6 linked regions of the Bombyx mori genome follow. The protein of the gene in region 5 binds, or shares a complex with, the protein of the main gene of each other region. Links are inferred from orthologs where the notes say so. Each region holds a gene or a part of one and is shown on either strand. Other genes may lie near its edges.

Region 1 (4,072 bases), on a different chromosome or scaffold from region 5:
CGGGCTGATGCATGGGTTAGGTTGCACGTCGACCTCTTTGTCGAGTTCGACGAGTACGGTTACCGGGGTCCCTAAGCCTGCCCCTAGTATTAGAGCTGAAGGCATCTAATGCAAAGGTTATTGGATCTGATGGATCCGTAAGGACGTGTCTAGGGCGTCGACGGTGACTGGCTCCTGCATGATCAGGATTCGGGGAGTAGTCAACGGCGGCTACGATAAGGCGATTATCATGACGCATAGCCTTATCGAAGTATCGTTCCGACGCTGACTTCATGTATTTCCGAATTGATTCGAGGCCCAGGTCGTCGTGTAGGTCAACGTTCCTCACGAACCACGGAGCCCCGACAGCTAACCTGCAAAAGCGGGATTGTAGGGATTGGAGGGTGTCTATGTGTGTGCGGGCCGCGTGAGCGAACACCACACTCGCGTAAGTCATGACGGGCCTTATGCAAGTTTTGTAAAGTGTCACCTTGTTCCGAAGGGACATTTTACTCCGCTTACAGATCATGGGGTAGAGTCTACCGAGAATAAACGCGGCACGGTCACGGACTGATTTTATATGCGGGCGGAATGTCATCGATGCATCCAGGGTAACGCCCAGGTACTTGACCTTCCTGGCCCAGGGTATGGGTTGTCTAAAGAGAGTAATCGGGGGTGTGAGATTCCTCCTCCTAATCCGGGAGGAAATCCGTGTGGAGCTTCCCCTCTGAAATAGCACCGCTGTACTTTTCGCTGGGTTGATGTCTATGCGCCATTTTCGGAACCACTGTACTAGGGCTAGGGCTGCGCTCTGAAGCTTCTTTGCGATTAGGGACTTATTTCTACTAGAATAGTAAACAGTCGTGTCGTCGGCGAATAAAGCTAAATGGGTCGGCGGCGACCGGGGAATATCGTTGACGAATAAGCTAAATAGGAGGGGTGAGAGGACAGAGCCTTGCGGGACTCCAGCTGTGAGAGGTCGTGGGGAGGAGCGGGTTCCCTCGACTCGATATCGAAAAGAGCGGTTTGACAAGAAGTCCCGTATGATGAGCACGAGACTATCCGGCACGCCCATGTTGAATAGTTTGAAATCTGGAATATCTGTGTTAAAGATCACCCAAGCTTAACCGATTATGAGGATTACGGTAGCTTAATTTTTTTTTAATTATTTATTTGATTTAAACAAAAATAAACTAATTGAAAGGAAATGAATTAAAAAGAAACTATAAATAAAACATCTTTGAATAAAGTCGCAAAGCAAATGCTCCCTGTAATCAATTTTAGTCTATCACTAGTATCATTGAACGCTGCCATAAGAAGACCGCCATTTGTTTATTTTCAAATAGCAACACTCGACATTGACAACCCAAAATGCAATCATGGCGCACGGGGTACTGTGTTTTTAGAATGCTGAGAAGTTTTTACGTAAACACTTCGTTAATTTATATTGCCATCGATTTGTGTGTTTTTATAAATTACCCTTGACTTTATATAATCATAGTTAAGCATACATGTATGTACAAAACTTGAGAATTTCAGCAGTTCAGAACCACGTCTCTGTACTACTGGACACTTGCAGGTATAAAAATCACGAGTTTCCTTGTTTTACCACTTTGACGGCTTGTAATATGATTCTCTGTGATCGAAAATGCTTGTACAGCATTTCTTCGCTTCGACGCCATTTGAATTATGCTGATTTATGTTTATAATACCGATATAAACATTTGTTCCAGATAACGTTGTTGGTGTCATAATGTCAGAGGCGTACGCCCGCGAGATACTACGGAGGAATGTTGCGCAAATATGCCAAACTATAGGATGGAACGGCATAAACTCAACGCCACTTGACATTTTGGTACATGTACTGGAGAAATATATCAAAACCCTTGGCATCCAAGCCAGTAGGCATGCTGAACAATTTAATAGGACTGAACCAAATTTACATGACTTAGGATTAGTATTCCGTGACCTTAATGTGAATTTGCCGGAGCTTGCTGAATATGTGCGTTGTGTACCTCCTGTTCCACCTCCAGTAAACTCTGTTAAATTCCCAAAACCGAAAGAATCGAACTTAAACTTCTTAAAACCAGGAAGTCATGAAGTTGTCACAAGGCCCATGCACGTGCATGAGCATCTGCCTCCTATGTATCCAGAGAAAGAGAGAGACACACCGGCTGTTGCAGGCACTATTGAAATACATCAAAATGGTATTGATAATGTCACTAGCAATAATACCATATGTACAAGTCCAGAAATATCTGTCACAGACAGTCCTGAGAAATCAAAGGAAATTTTTAAGAGACCAATTGATCCTGTTTCTTTACCTAATAGTAAAAGGCCACGGTTACGCTTAGAGGAAGAGGAGAGAACGAGAGAAATAAGTAGTGTGATGATGACCATGTCTGGTTTTCTGTCACCAGCCCGTGAAGGTAAACTTCCCGAAGCCCGTCCTCCTACAATTATAGCAGAAAAGCACTTTGAAAAGCACAAAGTTAATTCTCATACAAATGTAACTAAACCTCCAATTTTAGAAAAAGTTGATAAGAAATCTAAGAAAAATAAATTACCTAATGGTAAAATTATGAAGAGTAAAAGAAAAGATAAACATAAGAGTGAAAGTGGTAAAAATAAGGACAGTAATAAATTAAATAAATTTCCTCCTGGTTATCCTGTAAAAAGTAAGGATGTGCAGCCCAGACACCATAATCATATAACTATGCCAGCGCCTGAAGCTGCCCCTCCACCTCCTCCTTCAAGAGCAAAGATGGCACCTCCTCCTGCACTGGTGCCTATTCCAGAGCCAGTAAAACCTGTCATAAAACAGGAACCATTGGATCCTCCGTCACCAATATCCAGAAGGCTTTCTGTTGAAGATGCAATACCGGTCCCTAGAAAAATTCCAATCTCATTATCTCCTCTAGTATCTAATTCCATCACCACACCTAAACAGCAGTCTATGAGTAATTCTCTCATTCCTCACACTGAAATAAAGAGAGAAGTTTTAGATGAAGATGAGAAATTGGCCTCTCAACCTGATAAATCAAAGATTAATATATTTAAGAGAATAACGAACAAATCAAAAGAAGATAAGACTACTCCAGAGGTTGTAAATGATAAAGTAAATCTTGATGCTACTATTTCAAGGTTGCAAAATGCATCACATCAAAATTCAGTTCATAAGTCAAATGAAAATGCAAGAATGAAATCTGAAGTGATAGACCAAATTGTGAACAATAATGACGATAGTGCTGTAGATTTGTCTAAAGTGATGGATTTAAGAAGTAATGAAGTGATTAATATTGATGAGGATTCTTTGGACAGAAACCCTACACCACAGCAAAGACAACTACTGGAATCTAAACCTAATATATCAATCAACAAGTCCTTACAAACCCCTTTTCCCAAAGATCTACCGAGTGTTAGTCCTAAAGTTAAAAAAGAGAAAAAACACAAAGACAAGAAAGATAAAGCAGCAAAATTAGAAGCTAAATTGTTGAAGAAGCAACAACAACAATTAGCCTATGAAATGGCACAAGCTGAAAAGCAAAGTATGAAATTGGCTGGAATGAAACAACATAAAATCAGTAGACAGAAAAATGAATCAAAATTGCCACAAATGCCAGCTGGTTTTCCATTTTTTCATACAATGCCACCTGGAAGAGGTCTTATGCCCGGCCCTGGTCTCATCCCGAACCCTGGATTGATACCAGGAAGTGAATTCTTCACTGGTCTAGCAAACAATCCAGCACTAAGAGGTATGCCACCCTGTAATTTATTAAACAATCCATTTGCTTTGGGAACCAGTGGTCCTGGTCTCATTCCTGGTCCTAGTTTCTTACCTGGAGGCTTGAATTCTCCTCTGATGCCTATGGGAAATTTTGCCCAATCATCGAGATCTTCTTCCGTTAAAATACCACCAATGCTCCGTCGACCGAGTTTGGAGGTAATAGCAGTAGAAAATGATGAGGACAGAGGTATTCATAAGTCTTCAATGAATCGTGAAAAGGACCGCCACGATAAGCACAAATCTCAGACCATTCCAAATATATTACAGAAACACAAGTCTAAGTCGCATAAGGATCACAAGGCTAAT
Region 2 (3,955 bases), on a different chromosome or scaffold from region 5:
AATTTGCAATTATTTAACATACAATTTTGAACACAACACATATATTTCCCATTAGCAACACAAATACTATTATGCTACAATTGCTAATCCTGTTGTTTTCTCTTAAAAAACATTCTACAGATAGTAGTGCTTTAATTTCTTTATCAAGCCAAACAGTTTTATGTGATATATCTAGGGTTAGAGTACCTATAAAGTAGTACAAGATGTAAATATTAGACATTCATTTCATTAGTACACAAATTCTCATATCCTAACATGCTAACTGTTCAAGCTGCTATCTCTTGCCAAAACACAACTTTCAAATACCAAAGTGCAAAAGTAACACATAAATTAACAATAAACAATAAAAATGCTTATGCAATATGAATTTCTAAACGTGAAAACATACGTGAAATTAATTATTATTGTTAAACAGATTATTTGCAATTTTTTTTTTGATAGCGGCATTGCATGGATGTCTTCCAGCTTCACCAAGATAAGGCAGGCCAGGTTGGACTTAGGCAGGAGGGGCAAGATTTGGAGATCAGTCAGGAGTAGGTTGATCCCCAGGAGCTTACCTACCAAATTGCAGCAATAAGTTATGGTCTGATTTTGTGCCAATGAAGCATCATTTGCAGGAAGAATTGCTTTCATTCAAAGAAAACAGCAGCTCAAGTGCATTGAGAAAATGTGAATGAAGCAACATGGCATTGATTGGTTCCGTCGCTCCACAGATGCGAAAGATGAAAACCTATTGTTCGATGAGGATTCATATCAAACATAAGATCAGCTTGTTTCGATATTAAGGGTTGCAAGCCAAGATTGGGCATATCCACTAGTGGGTAACACTTGATTCCCTTTAGAAGTGAAGCCAAATGATGTTGAACATTGTCTTTTCATCTGTGAACGACTACTCCAACAGTACAAAAGAAAGGGTTTTGCAATGATGAAACACACGGGGAGGAAAAGGACTAATGATAGACTCCCCGTTAATGTTTCTACATCATTGCCACTGCCAAATATTCAGCTTACGAAGGTTATACTGTGTATTTGGTGCAATCAGGTTGGCATTATATATTAAGAGCTGTGGAGCTGAACAAAACCTCCACTGAAGAATGATATAGAATATAATTAATGCAGTGAAGCTTAATGCAATGCTTACACTGCATGAAAAATGCCCACAAAATGAGCAGAGACACAAGAAAGTGATGCTCCTGCATGATAATATTAAGCTCCACAGTCCCAAATATTTTGCTGTTCGATTATTCTTTGTTCCATTTGATGGTATCTACTTGGCTGGTTGTTCCATTCATATACAGATATCAAACAATAGCTTAGTTTCATTCATAGATAATCTCAAAAATGACACTTCTATTTACCAAGGAGGTATTTGAACTTTGCCACAAAGATGAGAAAAATTGTGGCTAGTAATAGAAAATACTTTCATGATTCATTTGTGAGATTTTTTTTTAATAAAAATGCATATTCATTAAGAAAAATAGAATTTAGTTTTCACAATCAGATTCACATGCTACAATTTGGGCAAATACTACTTAACAGAACATTCTATAATATCGTTTGCACAAGGTCTTCTAACTCTATTACTATAATGATAACCTTATTGTTTATAATACACTGGTGATCACAATAAAATTTAAAAAAGTAGGTACTAAATATTATATATTTGATAGTAAATAAATATTATATTATATAGTATAATTTACCATACATTTAAAGTAATCAAAACAAATTACAGATACATCTACATTCAGGATCTTATTAAATTTACAACCATTCATGACATTAGTGTTGTTGTGAATGTGCAAACACAAAAGCAGTGTTATAATTAAATATATGTTACTTGCATCAATCAGTCTAGAAGCATGGCGTCGGTTGTATGGCCACAGTATGGTTACTGTTGGTCCTCTATAATTTCAAAACATTTCAATACAAACATTAATAATCACACTTTAGATGAAACATCTCAAACTGAAACACTACAATGATAGTAATATAGAATTGGATTTTTTAATGGGAATAAATTCACTCAAATTTTACAATCAAATGTACAACTCACCAACATATTTTACTTCATCAAAAGCTTTTCTAGCTTTCTTAAGTTCCTCATTCATTGTAAGAAGGTCTTTAACACGTGCATACTTTCGTGCATCTTTACGAACTAAGAAAATTATGTCTTCTACTTGGACTCTTCCTGTTCTACCAACTTCCATTGCCCTGTTATATATATTTTTAGTATTGTACTATTTAAATCTAGGATTGCATGAGTTCATGAGTCCACCTGGTGTGATGTGGTATACGGAGTGAAACACAAACATGAATATAAAGAAGAATAAAAATATTGAAGTTTTCTCAAGACACAAAAAAGTTTTTTTTTTATCTTACCTATGTGTTGTTTCTGTTATAAATTCAATAACTAAGTCTTCTAAAAAATCGACACTTTCAGTATACGGGTTTTGATCATCACCAAATCCATACATCATACATCTCAATTCCTTACTAAAAAGTCTTTTACGACCAGATGTAGTTCCACCTAACTGTTGCTCTTCTTCTTCATCAAACTACAAAGCAATACTTTTATGTACACAAAAGAACAAAAAAATAAACAAGCAACGGAAAATCAATAGTTTTACCTGGTCAAAGTTATCTTGCGAATCAGGAGTGGGAGTGGCCATGATATTGATTTACTAAAGTTTTTTTGTAAAACTTAAAACGTTTATTTGTAGAAATTTTACATAAATAAATAGTCAGTAGTGGTAGTAGTTTTGTTGTGGATTTTAAAACAAACGAGTTAAAGTAAAACAATGAACATCTTTTATTTTATGGAGAATGACATTGACATAGAGTTTTTTTAAGGGATTTTATGACCTGGTAACTGAGACCTTTAAGTCATGAAACAAAATGAAAAAAATGCTCTAGCAAAATATGCTAATATATATGATTTGCTAGTGGAGCCATGTGGCATTTTCAATAGCCAAGAGCGCCCATATCTTGCTGCATCTCCTGATGGTGTGTTGGGCGAAGAAGCTATAATTGAAGTGAAATGTCCATACGCTAGCAGAAAACATGAAATAAATATATCAACGGTGCCTTACTTAGAACGATGTAACGGGATATTGTCTCTAAAAAATCCTGCCCATACTATTATCAAATCCAAGGACAGTTATACTGCTCAGGCAAAACATACTGCAACTTGGTCATTTACACCTACAAGGACATCAAAGTGATTTATGTTGAAAAAGACAATAATTTTATAAATAATATGTTAAATAAATTAGATATCTTTTATGAAAATATTTTCAAAGAAGCATTGTATAAAAAATATCTGTATTATAACTATACACACTTGTCGAAATAAAAAATCAGGAATATTTTTAATTATTTTTATTGACAATTCCTTCTCTAAAGTTACATAAGTAACTTCTCTACTTTTTGTTTCTTCAGAAACTGGTTTCATATTCCATGAAAATATAGATGGTACAGCACCTTTCTTCAGATATTTATGTTAATGTTTGACACCTGCAACACAAAGAATAACATTTAAATATACTATCACAAGGAAAGCTGACCATAGTTTCAAAATATTTGTTATTGCAATGGATGCAGCGATTTAGATAGAACTTTCAATAGTAACAGCTGATAATGAACAACAGCTCATGAGGAATGTGTTTCCTCCAGTCTGATTTTGTGTTTGTTATAAGGTTCCTTACAGCATGAATCTACTTATTATTATTGGATTTTTTTAATAAGAGAACAATGATGTGTGCTACACCTAGTCATGCATTATATATATTTGACAGAAAGAAGCATACCTGTGTATTTACTAATGTTTTCATAGTCAGATTCCACAAAGTGTTTACGACATAACCTCGAACTTTCTGTATGAATACTTTTTTCGCGTCAAATGGCCTTTAACCACAGTCTTCCAATTTTCTTGTCCTTCGGGAATTGATGTACT
Region 3 (3,500 bases), on a different chromosome or scaffold from region 5:
CATCTAAATATATTCTTCATTTCCAGCACAAATAAATTTACAGTTCAGTTATCAAGAGATGCATCTTCACAACTGAAACGTTACTTACACGAACAGAAAAATTCCTCAGTAATAATAAATATAATAAATAATCATATACAAATCGAAGTCCATGATGGTCCAGGAAGAACTCAAGCACAAGTTCGAGCTACAGCTGGAGGGGTACTTGGAGAACCAATGAAAAGTGGTGAGAATGTTGAATAATTATCGAATTACTATAAACACCAATGAGAATGAGAGCCATTAAATATTAACCTGCATAGGTAGGTACCACCGTTCTACGTTTTTCTGCTGCAGTAATAAGTTCCTGTTTTAATGTTGAGACAACTGATAAACATTAGACTTGGTTTTTCTACCTCATGTCTTAAGATGTGTGATGACATTTAAGCTTTGATTTGTATGAGCTCTGATAACCACATATCACCATGAGAGCCACATATCATCATTGTTCACTCATCTATACATTCAATTGTTCTCCAGTTTTTCTTCCGGTATTTAAATAGTGACACTGATTCAATGAAATTGTAACTATACTGTAAATAACATTATGATGACATTGCATCACAGGGCCAAAAAATAAATGACTCTTAAGTAGGTAGGCCAAATAAATAGAATACATTTTATTATAAATAATTATATAAACGACAATACCTAATGAACACAAGAACAATGATAAGATTAAACTTTTTAAATTTAAATTAAACAAAAAATTAAATTATATAGAAAATCGCACCAAAGTGTATTATGGGCTCCTGAAAGAGCCCGATATTCAAGTTCTACCGGCTCCGGTAGAAGACGAAGAAGAAGTAGAAGAAACCCCTGACAAACCAAAAAAGAAAAAAGCGAAAAAAGATAATCTTTTTATGAAGAAACCAAAATCTGACCCAAATGCACCTCCTAATGACAGGATCCCTCTACCAGATCTGTAAGTCTTGTACTGATTGCAAATTTATGAATTTTTTAGAAAGAAATTGTGTGAAATAAAAAATATAGTATTATGTGCACATATTTTAATTTATTATTTTAGAAAAGAAATTGATAAAGTAGAGAAAGGCAAAGCACTCAGAGAAGCATCAAAACGTGTTCAGCTAGGACCAGACAGCTTGCCCTCTATTTGTTTCTATACATTACTGAACAGCGGACATACTGCAATTAGTTGTGATATTTGTGACGATTCCACCCTTTTGGCTGTGGGATTTAATAACTCAAACATAAAGGTATACATAGTATATAGCGAATGGTATTGATTTAATGTGTTATGATTTTCAGGTATATGCTTTTTACTAACTAACAAAAAATAGCATAGGAATGAAGCTGCTATTTTTAATTAGAGCTTTTGAAGGAACTGTATCGCCTAAGACTAGATTTTTTCTTTGAGAAGTTTTTGAAAAAAGAAAACCTGACTAGAGATGCTACCACGTTTTTCCCAATTTAGCACTCTTACTATTGTAGCGACAGCTATTACAGAATAGAAGATATTTGTCAAAAACACATCATCAAACACATAAGCACATCTAAGTTTCGAGCATTAGGACAAAGACACTCGCTCAGTGATCATTCCTAGGTCGTTATCCACAAAACTGTAAACCCAGTAAAATATGAAGTAACCGCTTGTAAATATAACGCTCTCATCATGTTTCCACTTGTGTACATATTTTTCTACATGACTGTAAAGATCAGAGATCACTTAATGCTAAAAAGCTTTTACGATAATATTTAAGTACAGTAAGTATACGAGGCTTAAATTAAGCATCAAAAGGTCGTTGCAAAATTCAAATCAGAGTTGTTAAATATTTTATTCCTAATTACCTCAAAGGCTCAGGGACATGCCTTAATACTAACGACATGTCGCAATGCTCGGGAAAAATCTGAGAAAGGGAGAGTTAGTTAATTCCAGGCAAAGCCGAGTGACACAATGAACTCTTAAATCTCGCTGTGGAAACCCTACGATAAGCATTGCCCTGTGGTAAGGGTAGTTATTAATGGTAGATCACGACTCAGAGCAGCCCCTAATAGATCGAAGTATCTTCGGGTACCCAATGATTGAAAACCATCCGAGAAACTAATCGATAATTCTAAAGAAACTATCTTCTCAAATTATAATTTGTCTCTAATTATTACTACCTAAACACTACTCATTCATCCTAAAACTCAAAATTATATTCTAATTTAAAATATTTTAGGTATGGACATTGACTCCCATTAAACTGCGAGGAATGAAATCTGCAGAAAAACTACAAGATATAGACAGGGAAGCAGGTATAAATTTGGTTAAAATATATAATTGTTTTCAAATGATTTAATCTAATATAAATAAATTGCTTACTTTTAGGTGATGTACTCGTGAGGATGATGGAGGAAAAGGACCGTGATACGTGCCGCAACCTTTTTGGGCACTCCGGCCCCGTTTATAAAGTTGCATTTGATCCTTTTAAAACAATGCTGCTTTCGTGCTCTGAGGATACAACTGGTACGTGGGTCCGGTTTAACAAACTTTGAAATCGGAATCAAAGTTCCCAGTCTGAACGGGGCAGTGAACCGGCTCTGTATTTTACAAATATATTATATTATCTCCTCGCGTCGTTTCCTCACTGCTGAGGGTCGTGACCATTATACTTCGACATGATTTTACTCCTTGTAATGTCCCGCCAGCGCCTCCGATTATTGGCCGCAGGAAGGGCGTCGTGGAATGGGATCTCGTGGATCTCGTGATATATGACTTATCATTAAAACCGGCTAGTAAGTTAATTAAATGAAATTTCGAATGTGATGCACTGTCCCTTTCCAACAATGCATGCGTTACCAAAAGAAACTTTGGTATTATTGCTTTTTTATTTCCCTTGTAGGCAGACCAGATACGGCTCCCCTGATGGTGAGTGGTTACCGTCGCCTATGGACGTCAGGAACGCCAGGAGCATAGTTAAGCCGCAGCCTACCGCTAAGTACCGTTAAGCTTGCACTCTGTCTGTCATGAATAAACTTTACAAATAATCAATTACATTACAAATAATCAAAGAATCAGTTCATGTCTCTATTTTTGAAGTATAGGTTTGCGATGACTATGATGAATTACAGTTTCCTAACAAACAAAAATTTGTTTATAGCTACATAATTACACCATTTGATGGAAAATTTATTGAAGACTGAAATAATATTGGTAATGGACCTACAGAAATTTCTTAGTCGGATTTCTAGTAACTGTAGTGGTTCGGTTAACACAAACTTGTTCGCGAAACGTCTACTTTTAACGATCTTACAGATCTTATTTTCGACTATTTTGAATTTATCTTCAGTCACTCAAAATCGCTGATGGAAGTCAATTATCTAATGCGGTACCCATTTTTCTACTGATGCCACGGTATAATTCGTATTCGGAAATAACATGATATTTAACTTTTCTAGAATTGTGAATAAAATTTTTCAAAGCAAACAATGCGAAAACACACAGAGAACACACTAAA
Region 4 (3,930 bases), on a different chromosome or scaffold from region 5:
AATTTTCGTGAATTTAATTCAATTTATACAGTACTAGCGGCCCGCACCGTCTCCGCTCGGGTCTTTAATAAAAAATTCAATGATATTTGACGTTGTTTTATTTTTTTTTAAATAAAAGAACACTTATTGCGGAATAACTATAAGAGTACATATGCTGTTGCGACACTTTTTGTAAATAATGTGTTCTACAAAGTTGTACATTATTTTATTCTATTATCAATAGTTTTCGCAGGGCACGCGATGGAAAGAATATTGAAGGTAATTTTTTTACACCTTGGGTTACATTATTGGAGTTTTAGTTTTAGTAAGATCCCTAAATTTTTCAAAAAATAATATAACCTATGTCACTCGGGAATAATGTAGCTTCGAAACAGTGAAAGAATTTTTCAAATCGGTTCAGTGGTTTCGGAGCCTATTCAATACAAACAAACAAACAAATCTTTCTTCTTTATAATATTGGTATAGATAATTTAAAAAATATTAACGTAGCTTTTTAGCTTGTTAATATTTTTCCAAAAATATAAATTAATATCATAACTAAAATTTTGCGACTTGCGACTTAGACCTCATTATAATTCAATTCATTAAGGAATGTCGATCACTTTAGATGGAGTAAAATGTGGTATTATAACATTAGGATTTGATAAGAACGTAATTTATAAAGTGTCTAACACAATCACAACAAAAGAGACTTAAAATTAAAATATAGTTATGAATAGCGAATTAAGAATAAGTTTTAGCCTGAAACCTTTGCAGTTGTAAATTGGCTCACCTTTGTACAAAGACGCTGTTCTACTTTTTGGCGGACACTTTTAACAGATCACAAAGTTGGTGTTTATTTATTTATTTATGTACCTTATTTTATGTCCCTGTGTATTTAACTGTAAATATTGTATATAGTCATCTGAGGTATGACAACTTTTAGCATGTATTACCAACATTTGTACAATTTTCAGTCAAATAACAAAATTATTCTTTTTATTGAAAAGGTAGTGATTTTATTTGGGCTGTCTTAAAAAAAGTACTTTTTATCAAACAGACAAAAATCTAAAAAGTAAAAAATAAAAGTTGTTTCCAAAAGCAGTGATACCACATTTTGTCGGTAAATACCGGTTTGTAACCGTCCAGTGTCATATCCGCTGATTTGTAGAAAATGGCGTCAACGGAGTTTTTGGAGGAAGCTTTGTCCACAGACGTCGACGAGAAAGCCGTGAACGCGATCGTGGGCACTCTCGAAAACCAATTAGTTACTAACGTATCGTCGGCGCCGTCACAAAATATTTTAGTGAACGTTTTATCATCTCAGTTTCCCGGGCTAAGTTCGAACGCGGGCTCTATTATAAGTGGTCATAAATATACAACAGGCGGAGTTAGCTGCGGTATTGCCGCGAACAGTATACACAGACCCTCGTTGACAAATAGCACGTCCTGTAATAATGTCCAATCAAGTGTTCCTGGTACTTATTCCTCTTTGACACCGGGTGGTACTGTGACCAATTGTAACGATAACATACAAGTTATATATTCTCAGGCTCAAGCATTTTCTAACCCAAATTCGGTGACATTTCCCGCTCAGTCACTTCCGAACGGTTTCGTTGGGTTGTCCTCGTCCCAAAATCATTTGATAACGTCAGTAGACGCGATGCAACCTCCTTTAGTTTTAAAACAGGGGACGTCTTCGGGCCAAGTGGGAATACAGTCTGGAATGGTCACAGTACCGATGACAGCCAATTCAAGCATGTCCGGTTCAATACCAAATGTAATGACTTTGAACAAACCTGGACAAAATGTAGTTGTAACAACTCAGAACTTGGGTTCGAGTCAGCCCACAATACTCCCTAATGTTCAGATTCTGAATATGAGAGCTGGTGCTCCAGCAGTTGCGGCACAAAAGTCAGTAGCAACAGTATCACCAAGAGTAGTGATAGGCACCCCACAAGTTGTTGGCACCAGAGCTGCAGGACCAGGCGTAAGTCTCAAATGTTAAAATATTAATACATTAATTATTTATCCAAGCGTTTTGTCACTAAAACTTATTTAAAACTTTTAGGACTGATACAAGTTGTAAAGTAAATATACCACCAAAAAAAAAAAAACTTTTATAAATAAAACAATATTTAGGAAATTCAAAACATAGTATATTGCAACTTTTCTGAAATGTTTGTAAAAGATAAAAATCATTAAACTTAAAATAAGTTAATGTTATTAATTTCTAATTTAATCAAATCAGAATCTTCTATTGTTTTTATTGTCTTTTTATCAGTCCTAAAACAAATTAACAATAGACATTATAGAGGAACTAAAACAAAAAAGAAAAAATCTACAGGATCTTTCTGCATTATAATGTTATGCTGTAAAAATAAATGTTATAACATGGTTCATTATGGTTATGTACAAAAGATATTAACACAATTCTTAGATACCCACTTATCTGTAAATAAATTTCACTGAAACATGAAGAGGATGGATTTCTTCGGGCAACATCACTGTCATCTAAAACTCTTAGCATATTTGCACAAATTGTCACATAAACACAGAATACTGCTTGTTAAACTTTTATCAATGGGAAATGGGCCCACTGGTGATTCAACAAATTTTCAGTGGTTTGCATATCATAAACAAGCTGAAATTTAACTTTGAATTCTGCTACCCTACAATCAAATAATGCCTCAAAATATAAACCTAATACAACATGGATTTATAAATTAAACTTTATTATATAATTTTCTGGGAATCCATAAAACTGCTACAAATAAAAATATTAGTAAAATTTATGAAATCAAGCAATCTTTACCAGTTTAATGGAATCTGAGAAAGCTTCATTTCAGATGTCATATATGTCATATATAATTGCATTGTGCTACTCGGGCTTTTGTATAATATTGTAATCAATAATAGCTTAACCCATCCTAACCTTGTCATAATCATATCATATACATGTTAGTTTTGCACAGTCACCTGTCCCGTCAATGTTGTCATGTCACTGAAGTGTGTTATAAATTTTAACAAATGACCTGCTTTAGGAATTCGCATTCCAATTTTATATTTAGTAAAATATATATTCTTTCACTTGTTACTCTTCATTTAATGAAGAAGTAGGTGAAATTGAATTGAAGCGTTCAATTTTTAGATAACGCTGCAAACACTACCAAGTCTACAACCGGGCCAGCAGGGTCATTTGTTGTTAAAGACAGAGAATGGTCAATACCAGTTGCTGAGAGTGGGTCCCGCTCCAGCGGCCAGCTCTCTCACGACGCCCCAGCCTCAAACCATCAGGCTGTCCACTGTGCCAGCAGTAAGTAGGCACAACCACTCACACCCTGACTGAGATTGGACAACCCCCCCTCTCTCTTGCGCCACATTGAGAATCTCATGTTTGTCCAATTTCATGTTGTTCATGCATGTACAAATGTGGTGAAGGTGCATGTTCTTATTAACAAGGTAAGAAGATTCTAATTGGAGTATCATTACTTATAAATACTAATTACCTGGATTCATTAGTTTAATGTAAGGCATAAATATATGCGCTGGTACCCCAACAGTACATCTAAGTATAAGCCAAATGTCCGTGCTAGCTGTAGAGCATGCTTATTATGCATAGTTATTAAGCTGCTTCAAGTATTTAAATATTTATTAGTAAATACAATAATATATGCAATATAATTAGATATGTGTTTATAGATATATTTATAATTTAGTGTTATACTTTAATAAATTTTTTATAAATTTTAGAAATTATAAGTTATTTGATTAATATAATCTTAACTGTATAACAGACAAGCCATTGTTTAAAAATATCAAAAATATCTATTATAAATTATTATACAGTAATCCATCCTATAACACAGTCAATTGGTTCCATGTTATAGGAAACACGTTGTAGGAGTATTTTCATATGACGCACTTGTGTGATCCCATAACACGCGTTTT
Region 5 (3,500 bases):
AATACACCGAATTACAAAGATAAAATTAAATGTGTCGCGTATTAAACGAAATGTCGCTTAAACGACGAATAAAACGATACTGCTTAATAAAAATAAGGCGGTGCATGCCCACTAATACGTCTTGACACTCGTTTCGCAGTTGCACATCATAAAATTGGAGGTTTAGATTTTATGATCATAGAGGAGACCAATATTATTCCTGCACTGTAGGATTCATTCGTAAACACGTCTTAGATGCGTATTTTCTAGACAAAATGTTATCTGTCCAATCTAGACCATGGCATAAGAGTCCATAGGCCATTCTCTCTACGGCCACGCTTCAATATTTGATACTCATACATGTCTATAGGTAATTGCAGATTTAATAAGTAAATTGTATTGTTTGGGCAGTTACACGAGTTGATTCCGTCCGTGTCGACATGCATAGTATCACGACAGCTGTGCCTTCGTCCCGAGATGGATAACCACTGGGCCCTGCGAGATTTCGCCGCGCGACTCATGGCTCAGATATGCAAAACATTCAATACTTCAACCAATAATCTACAAACGAGAGTCACCAGGTATTTTAATTTGAATAAATTTTAAAGTCACACAATGTATCTGGTAGTTACTATACGAAAATTCTTTGCGCTCAGGTTGTTCGCGAAAGCCCTCCAGTGCCCTTCACAAACAAACAACGAAACGGGTCCTTCTATGGCGAGCATGAAGGAATCGGAGAAGACTCCTCTCGCGTCGCTGTATGGAGCCGTGCAAGGATTGGCAGAGCTGGGCCCCGAAGTCGTTAAAGTGAGTAATCTGTGTGCTTAGTGCGAGTTTTTTAACGTTTTCGATAGCGTGAAAGTTAGCCCAATTTTGTATGCAGTTGGAACAGCGCCCCTAGTGGCAAACGTATGCAAAAGATCCCATTCTGTACGAATATAAGCTAACTTTTACGCCATCGAGAACGTTAAAAAACTCGCACTAAGCACACTGACGCCGTCACGCAGCGCCCTCTACATAGGCGCGTTAAACATTGTCGTGCGTGAATTAACTTATGCACGCCGGGTTTTTAGTTGAATTTGATGGCTGTGTACCGGCGGCCCAGACACGTAGGCGCAGTGTTGGATTTACACTAGGGGCAGTCGGGGCAAGTGCCCAGGCCGGCATATTTTTTAGGGCGGCAAAATTTTTAGTTTTTTTTTTTTAGTTTTATCAAGATTGCTCAATATAATTAATTAATTCTAATAATTAATAATTTCCTTTTTAATTGATAATTCAAGAAATTCAATTCATCCATTATTTGTCAATTATAATTTTGGCACTTTTGGTAAAAATTAATAATCAAAATGGTTTAATCAATTTATTTCCTTGGAGATTTAAAATAATAATCGATTTTTCTATTTTCTATAATTAAAGAAATATAATTAGTTATTTTTTTTGATGAAATATAATTATGAGTCACCCTTAGTCAAAATTTGTAATTGTTAGAAAAAAATATATATATTTATTTATGTTTTTGAAATATATGACATATGATAAAGTTTCCGCAATAAATTAGTCATCCTAATTTTGAAAAATAAAATATATAAATTATAAATTTAGGTAAAATTACAGTATTGGCACGGTTTTTTTTTATTGTTTAGATGGGTGGACGAGTTCACAGCCCACCTGGTGTTAAGTGGTTACTGGAGCCCATAAACATCTACAACGTACATGCGCCCCCCACCTTGAGATATAAGTTCTAAGATCTCAGTATAGTTACAACGGCTGCCCCACCCTTCAAACCGAAACGCATGACTGCTTCACGGCAGAATAGACAGGGCGGTGGTACCTACCCGCGCGGACTCACAAGAGGTCCTACCAGCAGATTTTTTTCCGGTACCGAGGAGCAGTATTATGTTTCAATCCGACCCTGCGTAGGCGTGATAATCTGGCGATTCATGTTAGATCTGGTAAGATGACGCCTTTTTTACAGGTGTTCATTCTGCCGCGCGTGCGTTGGTTGGGAGAGCGCGTGGAGGGCGCGCTGAGCGGTATCGGTGGCGCGGACCGACTGGCGGCCGGCAACCTCAAGCACCAGCTGCTGAAAGTCCTGGCCCCTGTCGTCCGACAACTGCGGCAACCGCCCGACCAACCCGAAGACTACAAGTCAGTCACGTCTTATACACGAATCGTCCTGTTGATTTCCTATTGAACTTTTTATTACTCATGTCCGGTCAGTGATTGTCGATATTCGCGCATATTTATTGACACCTAAAAATTTAGATTAATTTTATATACCTAGGTACAGTACCAGGCAATAAATATTGCACATCGATATTTAGAAAGAGACTGTCGTCTAATTTTGTTATTATTGTAGAGCGTTATCTGTGTGCGATGAAACACCAACGATCCCGTATCTATGGAGATTAAATGTCAATTAGGTAATGTGCGACACATATAACGCTCTACAAAGCAAAAATTAACCATCTCTTTCCCACGGTCGATGTGCAATATTTATCGCCGGGTACTGTATAACATTTTCTTTATTTCTTATTGACGTTTAGAAAATAAACAATGTCAAAAAAAATGTCTAAAGATCTTCAATAGCTAATGAACAAAAAGAATATCAATGATCAAACACAGAAGAAATTTTTTTTCTTCTATAAATTGGCAATATTTTTATATAGATTACCGTAGCATTATTTTTTCGCTACATGGGCCGTTTTCCAATTACAGCACAAGAGCGCATTATGCGGCATAATGCTCAACTAAGCTTCAGCATAATTCGGCATTGTGCGTCACTGAGTCGCATTATGCTCTGTAATTGGAAAACTACCATTAAGTAATGGTTAATTGCCGAATTATGCTGAAGCATAGTTGAGCATTATGCCGCATAATGCGCTCTTTTGCTGTAATTAGAAAACGGCCATGGTTTCTGCTATCCGTCTGAGCATAGGTACCAGTTGATACAGGTATGTTATCAGACCATCAGCTAACCACTTTCCACTACATTTACCTTTAGTCAGTATGCTGAATGGTGTTTATTTTGTAACTCAATCACATTGTGGACCTCGAAAAATGAACTAGAAATGTATCATACACTGTTCTTGATGAAGAATTACTATCGCAACCTTTCGGTTTTGATTTTACTTGTGATGATTCCATATAATGTCATTATAAGAATTGAATATATATTATCATGGGTGGGCCCGGCAATTGTCTTGTCCTGATAATAATAATAAAGCCTTAACGGGTCCAATTGTAATTGGAAATTGTCCAGGGACCCCCTTTTGCGATGCAAAAATAATCATAAGAATCGGGCCAGCAGAATCCCGGCATACATACCCTCTTATTCCAAAAATAACATAGATTGCGATTGGAATGCTACCCTATGTAATGTTTTTTTTTCATGAAAGCCACATTTAAAATTACGTTAATTTTTAGTCCAAAAATAGCCAAGTGAAATGATTAAATATCTATGAACATTTTTTTATATCAGATTTACATAGATAAATTACATACAAAGACATACATTATAT
Region 6 (4,014 bases), on a different chromosome or scaffold from region 5:
GGTTTTGCTAGATACGCGCATCCGAGCTTTATGGTTTCGTTGGTGATCCTGTCGGGGCCTGGACTTTTCTCTATTTTTAGTGATTTAATCCCTTTAATCACTTCGGATTCGGAAGTAGAGACGAGAGCAGTCATAGACGAATACGAAGAAGACATAAAAGACGTTAAAGAAAAATTGATTTTGTTATTTAAATATATGTATTTTGTTTGTTTCTATTTTGTTTGTTGGAAACCCTAGTCGTACCACCTATTTACGAACATTATTAAAATACCTACTTTTTACTTGTATCTATTGTTATCAAAATTAAATTATAAGTTCTTGACTTGACCACGACTATGTGACCCCCTCCTGGCGCCAAAGCTGGATCCGCCGTTGAATGCACTGGACGTCTTATCCTTTAGGCCACGATGACTTTACAACTTCACACTTGTGCCATTTCATATTTCTTTTTTTGTGAATTTTGTGTTTATTTAATTAAAGGCTTTAAACCTCTTTGCCTGTCTTATGAACAATTAAAACAAAGAACTCTATCATAGATAATATACTTGTTGAATAGATAAGGATGATACAACTTGATAGAACAGACAAGGCGCTATGGGCTTAGATCCCCTTGCCTTTTCTAATAAAGAAAAATTGTACCAAAAAAAGTTTATGGATAGGTAGGGACTTTTTGGCGGGAACGAGAGGTGTCAAGTTGTGCGATTTGTTTTATTTTGTCTATTTAGTGTTTCTTCAATTTTAAATGTGTAATAACGGTGGTTTATTAACTGCTTATTATCTGTGAAAGTGCACAAATGTGGGAAAATGAAACAAAACCGTTGTACATAACTTCTTGGGATCCTCCAAAAAGCCCACTGAAAAAATCTCAGTAAACGACCACCATTTTACTGAGATTATATTTCATCCCATATGATCTCATCTCATTTCATTTAATTTCATCCCAGTTGATTAATGTCTCAAATTCTTCATTTCATTTCACTCCATATTATCATTTTTCATAAAAATATCCCATATCATATCATCTCACCTCATTTCAATTCATTTCATGTCAGAGATGGAATGGCATGACATCTTTCATATTAAATTAGTCAGCTTCATTTCATTTCATAATTCATAAAAAAAAGATTAGGCCGGTTGGTGTTATTTCTTTGCCTTTCCATTTGTAAAAATTAAACTACTAAGGAGTATGGGCTTAGATCCCCTTGCCTTACATAATAAGGAAAAATTGTACCAAAAAAAAAAGTTTATGGATATGTTTTGTTGACGAAGCGAAGTAAAGCAAATAATATTATAATTACATTAAGTGTATTATTTATGAGATAATTACAGTAAAAAAAGTAGTACATAGTTCGATAAGCCAATTAAAATTATCTAAAGAGCAGTAAAATGTCCGAGATGTCAGAAAAAACTGAAACTACATCTGATGCTCGTCGACGTATCTTAAACATTGCAGTTTCTACGGTATTATTGGAGACCGGTTTCGATGCTGCTGATAAAGTTTCGTTGGAAACTTTGACTGAAATGCTTCAATGTTGTACGTAAAACAATATCTTAAAATAACGTTTTACCAATAGACGTCTTTTTCATTACAGTTTAGTGCCAAGTGTATTTATATAATTGTATTTATATATTTCCACCAATAAAAGACCAGAAATTTTCTTTAAAGTAACAAATCAGGTACATATTTCACAGAAATAAAAATTTACTACTCATTACAAGAACTTCATACCAGGAAATTGGAATTTGCAAACAAAGTGAATTTACTTAATAGATATTGTGGTGCATTTATTAAAAAAATCAATATGCTTATGTTAACTAGCTCATTCACTGCTAGGAGCAAAGTTCAAAAACATAATTTATTTTTATGTAAAATATAATACCAATTACACTGTTATATTAATGGATTGTTTTAGTTTTTGCAGAAGTTGGGAATTCGGCGAAAGGATTTTGTGAGCTATCTGGACGGGTGGAGCCAGTGTTGGGTGATGTTGTAATGGCACTTATTAACATGGGTATAAATAAAACAAAACTTTATTTATAATTTTTATAATATAAACTTTATTTATAAAGTTCAGTATTTGCATTTTATATTTGAAAATGGGAAAGGAAACCTGTTATATTTGAGTCGTCTATTATCAAAGGCGGCAATCTGACTTTTGGACAATGATTGGTAAATCAGAAAAACGAATTATTGACTTTGTATTCCATCGGCAGTCACAAAACTCTTCGGAACGACATCTTAGATAAATAACAGGTTAACTATTAACCTTTATTTAATGCAGGTTTTGAACCGTATTCTTTGAAGGAGACGATTATATTCAAATCAATCTGTATTGACATATCAATAAAAAAAAATTGTCCAAATGCACAGATTGCCACCTTTGATAATAGACGACTCATTTGTAAATAAAAAAGTGATGAAGTTTCCAAATTTTTTCTCTGAATAGTAATATTCATAAATGTTAGTTTTCATGGTTATGAATAGATTAATAAAAAATGAGAAACTTTACTGAGTGCTTGTTAATCATCAATTTTTTTTTTAGGTATAAGCTTACAGGGTATTGAACAATATGCTGCTCGTCCAAATCGGCATGTAATTCAACCTCCTCAGCAAGCTCCTGCACCTCGCACCCCAGCTATGTTGTCAGCTGGCTCTAAAGCTAAACCAGCACCACATATACCTTTTCATTTGCCTCCATTACCAGATCCACATGCATACATCAGAACACCTGTGAGTATAAACCTTTAACCACAAATGTTATACTAAATAATAAGTAGGTAGTTGAATGATTTTTTGTTTAGTTTTAATCAAAATACAAAGCGAAGGATATAAAACAAAATGATTAAATAAATCATTGGGGACTTTTGAGGTGATGCTTAGTATTTTGCAGCAAAATAGAAATTAAAAGTTTTTTATGTTTTTTTTATTGCTTAGGTTTGTGGACGACATTTTCGCCCATCTGGTGTTAAGTGGTTACCGGAGCCCATAGACATCTACAACGTAAATGCTGTCACCCACCTTGAGATATGAGTTCCAAGGTCTCAGTATAGTTACAACGGGTACCCCACTCTTCCAACCAAAATACATTACTGCTTCACGCCAGAAGTAGGCAGGATGGTGGTACCTACCTGTGCGGACTCACAAGAGGTCCTACCACCATAATTACGCGAATTATAATTTTACGGGTTTCATTTTTATTACACGATGTTATTCTTTCACAGTGGAAGTCAATTGAGAACATTTGTTTAGTATGTATTTCATTAGAAAAATTTGTACTTGCCAGCGTGCTTTGAACACCAGTGCATTACTGGATACTAATGCACCGGACTTCTTATCCTTTAGGCCACGATGACTTCATTGTGATCAGTTTTGATGTTTATCATTTTTTATGAAGCAAAAAACCTTCTGCCAATATGTATATTCTTGAATAAATAAAGTTTGTGACTTCTAAATCGAACTAATTCGTTGTTTTTTTTTTAATTACAGACTCACAAGCAACCAGTAACTGAATATGAAGCCATTCGAGAGAAGGCAGCAACCCAAAAAAGAGACATTGAACGTGCTTTGACTAAATTCTTAGCAAAGACAAGTGAAACCCATAATTTATTTAATACAGAAGACAATCAGGTTTTTCCATGTATGAATAAACTCCTTTCATTTTGTATTAGGAATATTTCTCTTTATAGAGATATTAATAGACTGTTAACATCTCATGACCATGTCACTCATGTGATAAAAAGAAATGCATGTGTAATATATGTTCATAAAACTTCTTCCAGGATAAAAGAATAACATTTATAAAAAAATGCAACACATAGGCAGCTACTACCATGCATCCTTTTTCTGACAAGAAGGGGTGATGTGTTTTGGTTTGAACGATAGAACAGTTATTAAAAATATATTATCGAGATTTCAACCTTATGTCTCAAAGAGTGGGTGGCATTCACATTGTGATCTTTAGAGATTTTGGTAACCACTTAACACTAGGGGGCCTTGTACTTTATATAGTAGAA

Evidence for each region.
Region 1: transcription initiation factor TFIID subunit 6 (region 5) and transcription initiation factor TFIID subunit 3 share a complex: the UniProt entries of both Homo sapiens proteins name them as parts of the TFIID basal transcription factor complex. The link is inferred for Bombyx mori from reciprocal best matches to the Homo sapiens genes TAF6 and TAF3.
Region 2: transcription initiation factor TFIID subunit 6 (region 5) and Taf13 share a complex: the UniProt entries of both Homo sapiens proteins name them as parts of the TFIID basal transcription factor complex. The link is inferred for Bombyx mori from reciprocal best matches to the Homo sapiens genes TAF6 and TAF13.
Region 3: transcription initiation factor TFIID subunit 6 (region 5) and transcription initiation factor TFIID subunit 5 share a complex: the UniProt entries of both Homo sapiens proteins name them as parts of the TFIID basal transcription factor complex. The link is inferred for Bombyx mori from reciprocal best matches to the Homo sapiens genes TAF6 and TAF5.
Region 4: transcription initiation factor TFIID subunit 6 (region 5) and transcription initiation factor TFIID subunit 4 share a complex: the UniProt entries of both Homo sapiens proteins name them as parts of the TFIID basal transcription factor complex. The link is inferred for Bombyx mori from reciprocal best matches to the Homo sapiens genes TAF6 and TAF4.
Region 6: transcription initiation factor TFIID subunit 6 (region 5) and transcription initiation factor TFIID subunit 8 share a complex: the UniProt entries of both Homo sapiens proteins name them as parts of the TFIID basal transcription factor complex. The link is inferred for Bombyx mori from reciprocal best matches to the Homo sapiens genes TAF6 and TAF8.

The regions. Positions count from the first base shown.
Region 1 is NC_085113.1:3,417,246-3,421,317, reverse strand, and holds the start of transcription initiation factor TFIID subunit 3, read left to right. Parts: upstream 1-1,272; 5' UTR 1,273-1,558; intron 1,559-1,712; 5' UTR 1,713-1,732; coding exon 1,733-4,072. UniProt on the Homo sapiens protein: The TFIID basal transcription factor complex plays a major role in the initiation of RNA polymerase II (Pol II)-dependent transcription.
Region 2 is NC_085115.1:8,093,394-8,097,348, reverse strand, and holds the start of Taf13 (TBP-associated factor 13), read right to left. Parts: upstream 2,801-3,955; 5' UTR 2,673-2,800; coding exon 2,631-2,672; intron 2,559-2,630; coding exon 2,383-2,558; intron 2,215-2,382; coding exon 2,057-2,214; coding exon of another isoform or gene 2,040-2,056; exon of another isoform or gene 1,906-2,039; coding exon 1,892-1,905; 3' UTR 1,845-1,891; exon of another isoform or gene 1-1,844. UniProt on the Homo sapiens protein: The TFIID basal transcription factor complex plays a major role in the initiation of RNA polymerase II (Pol II)-dependent transcription.
Region 3 is NC_085110.1:9,225,387-9,228,886, reverse strand, and holds part of transcription initiation factor TFIID subunit 5, read left to right. Parts: intron 1-26; coding exon 27-226; intron 227-762; coding exon 763-964; intron 965-1,066; coding exon 1,067-1,256; intron 1,257-2,222; coding exon 2,223-2,298; intron 2,299-2,371; coding exon 2,372-2,509; intron 2,510-3,500. UniProt on the Homo sapiens protein: The TFIID basal transcription factor complex plays a major role in the initiation of RNA polymerase II (Pol II)-dependent transcription.
Region 4 is NC_085107.1:19,834,974-19,838,903, reverse strand, and holds the start of transcription initiation factor TFIID subunit 4, read left to right. Parts: upstream 1-1,130; 5' UTR 1,131-1,153; coding exon 1,154-1,969; intron 1,970-3,130; coding exon 3,131-3,295; intron 3,296-3,930. UniProt on the Homo sapiens protein: The TFIID basal transcription factor complex plays a major role in the initiation of RNA polymerase II (Pol II)-dependent transcription.
Region 5 is NC_085121.1:11,007,064-11,010,563, reverse strand, and holds part of transcription initiation factor TFIID subunit 6, read left to right. Parts: intron 1-390; coding exon 391-560; intron 561-635; coding exon 636-786; intron 787-1,954; coding exon 1,955-2,127; intron 2,128-3,500. UniProt on the Homo sapiens protein: The TFIID basal transcription factor complex plays a major role in the initiation of RNA polymerase II (Pol II)-dependent transcription.
Region 6 is NC_085124.1:7,747,477-7,751,490, forward strand, and holds the start of transcription initiation factor TFIID subunit 8, read left to right. Parts: upstream 1-1,214; 5' UTR 1,215-1,386; coding exon 1,387-1,534; intron 1,535-1,913; coding exon 1,914-2,012; intron 2,013-2,543; coding exon 2,544-2,731; intron 2,732-3,487; coding exon 3,488-3,638; intron 3,639-4,014. UniProt on the Homo sapiens protein: The TFIID basal transcription factor complex plays a major role in the initiation of RNA polymerase II (Pol II)-dependent transcription.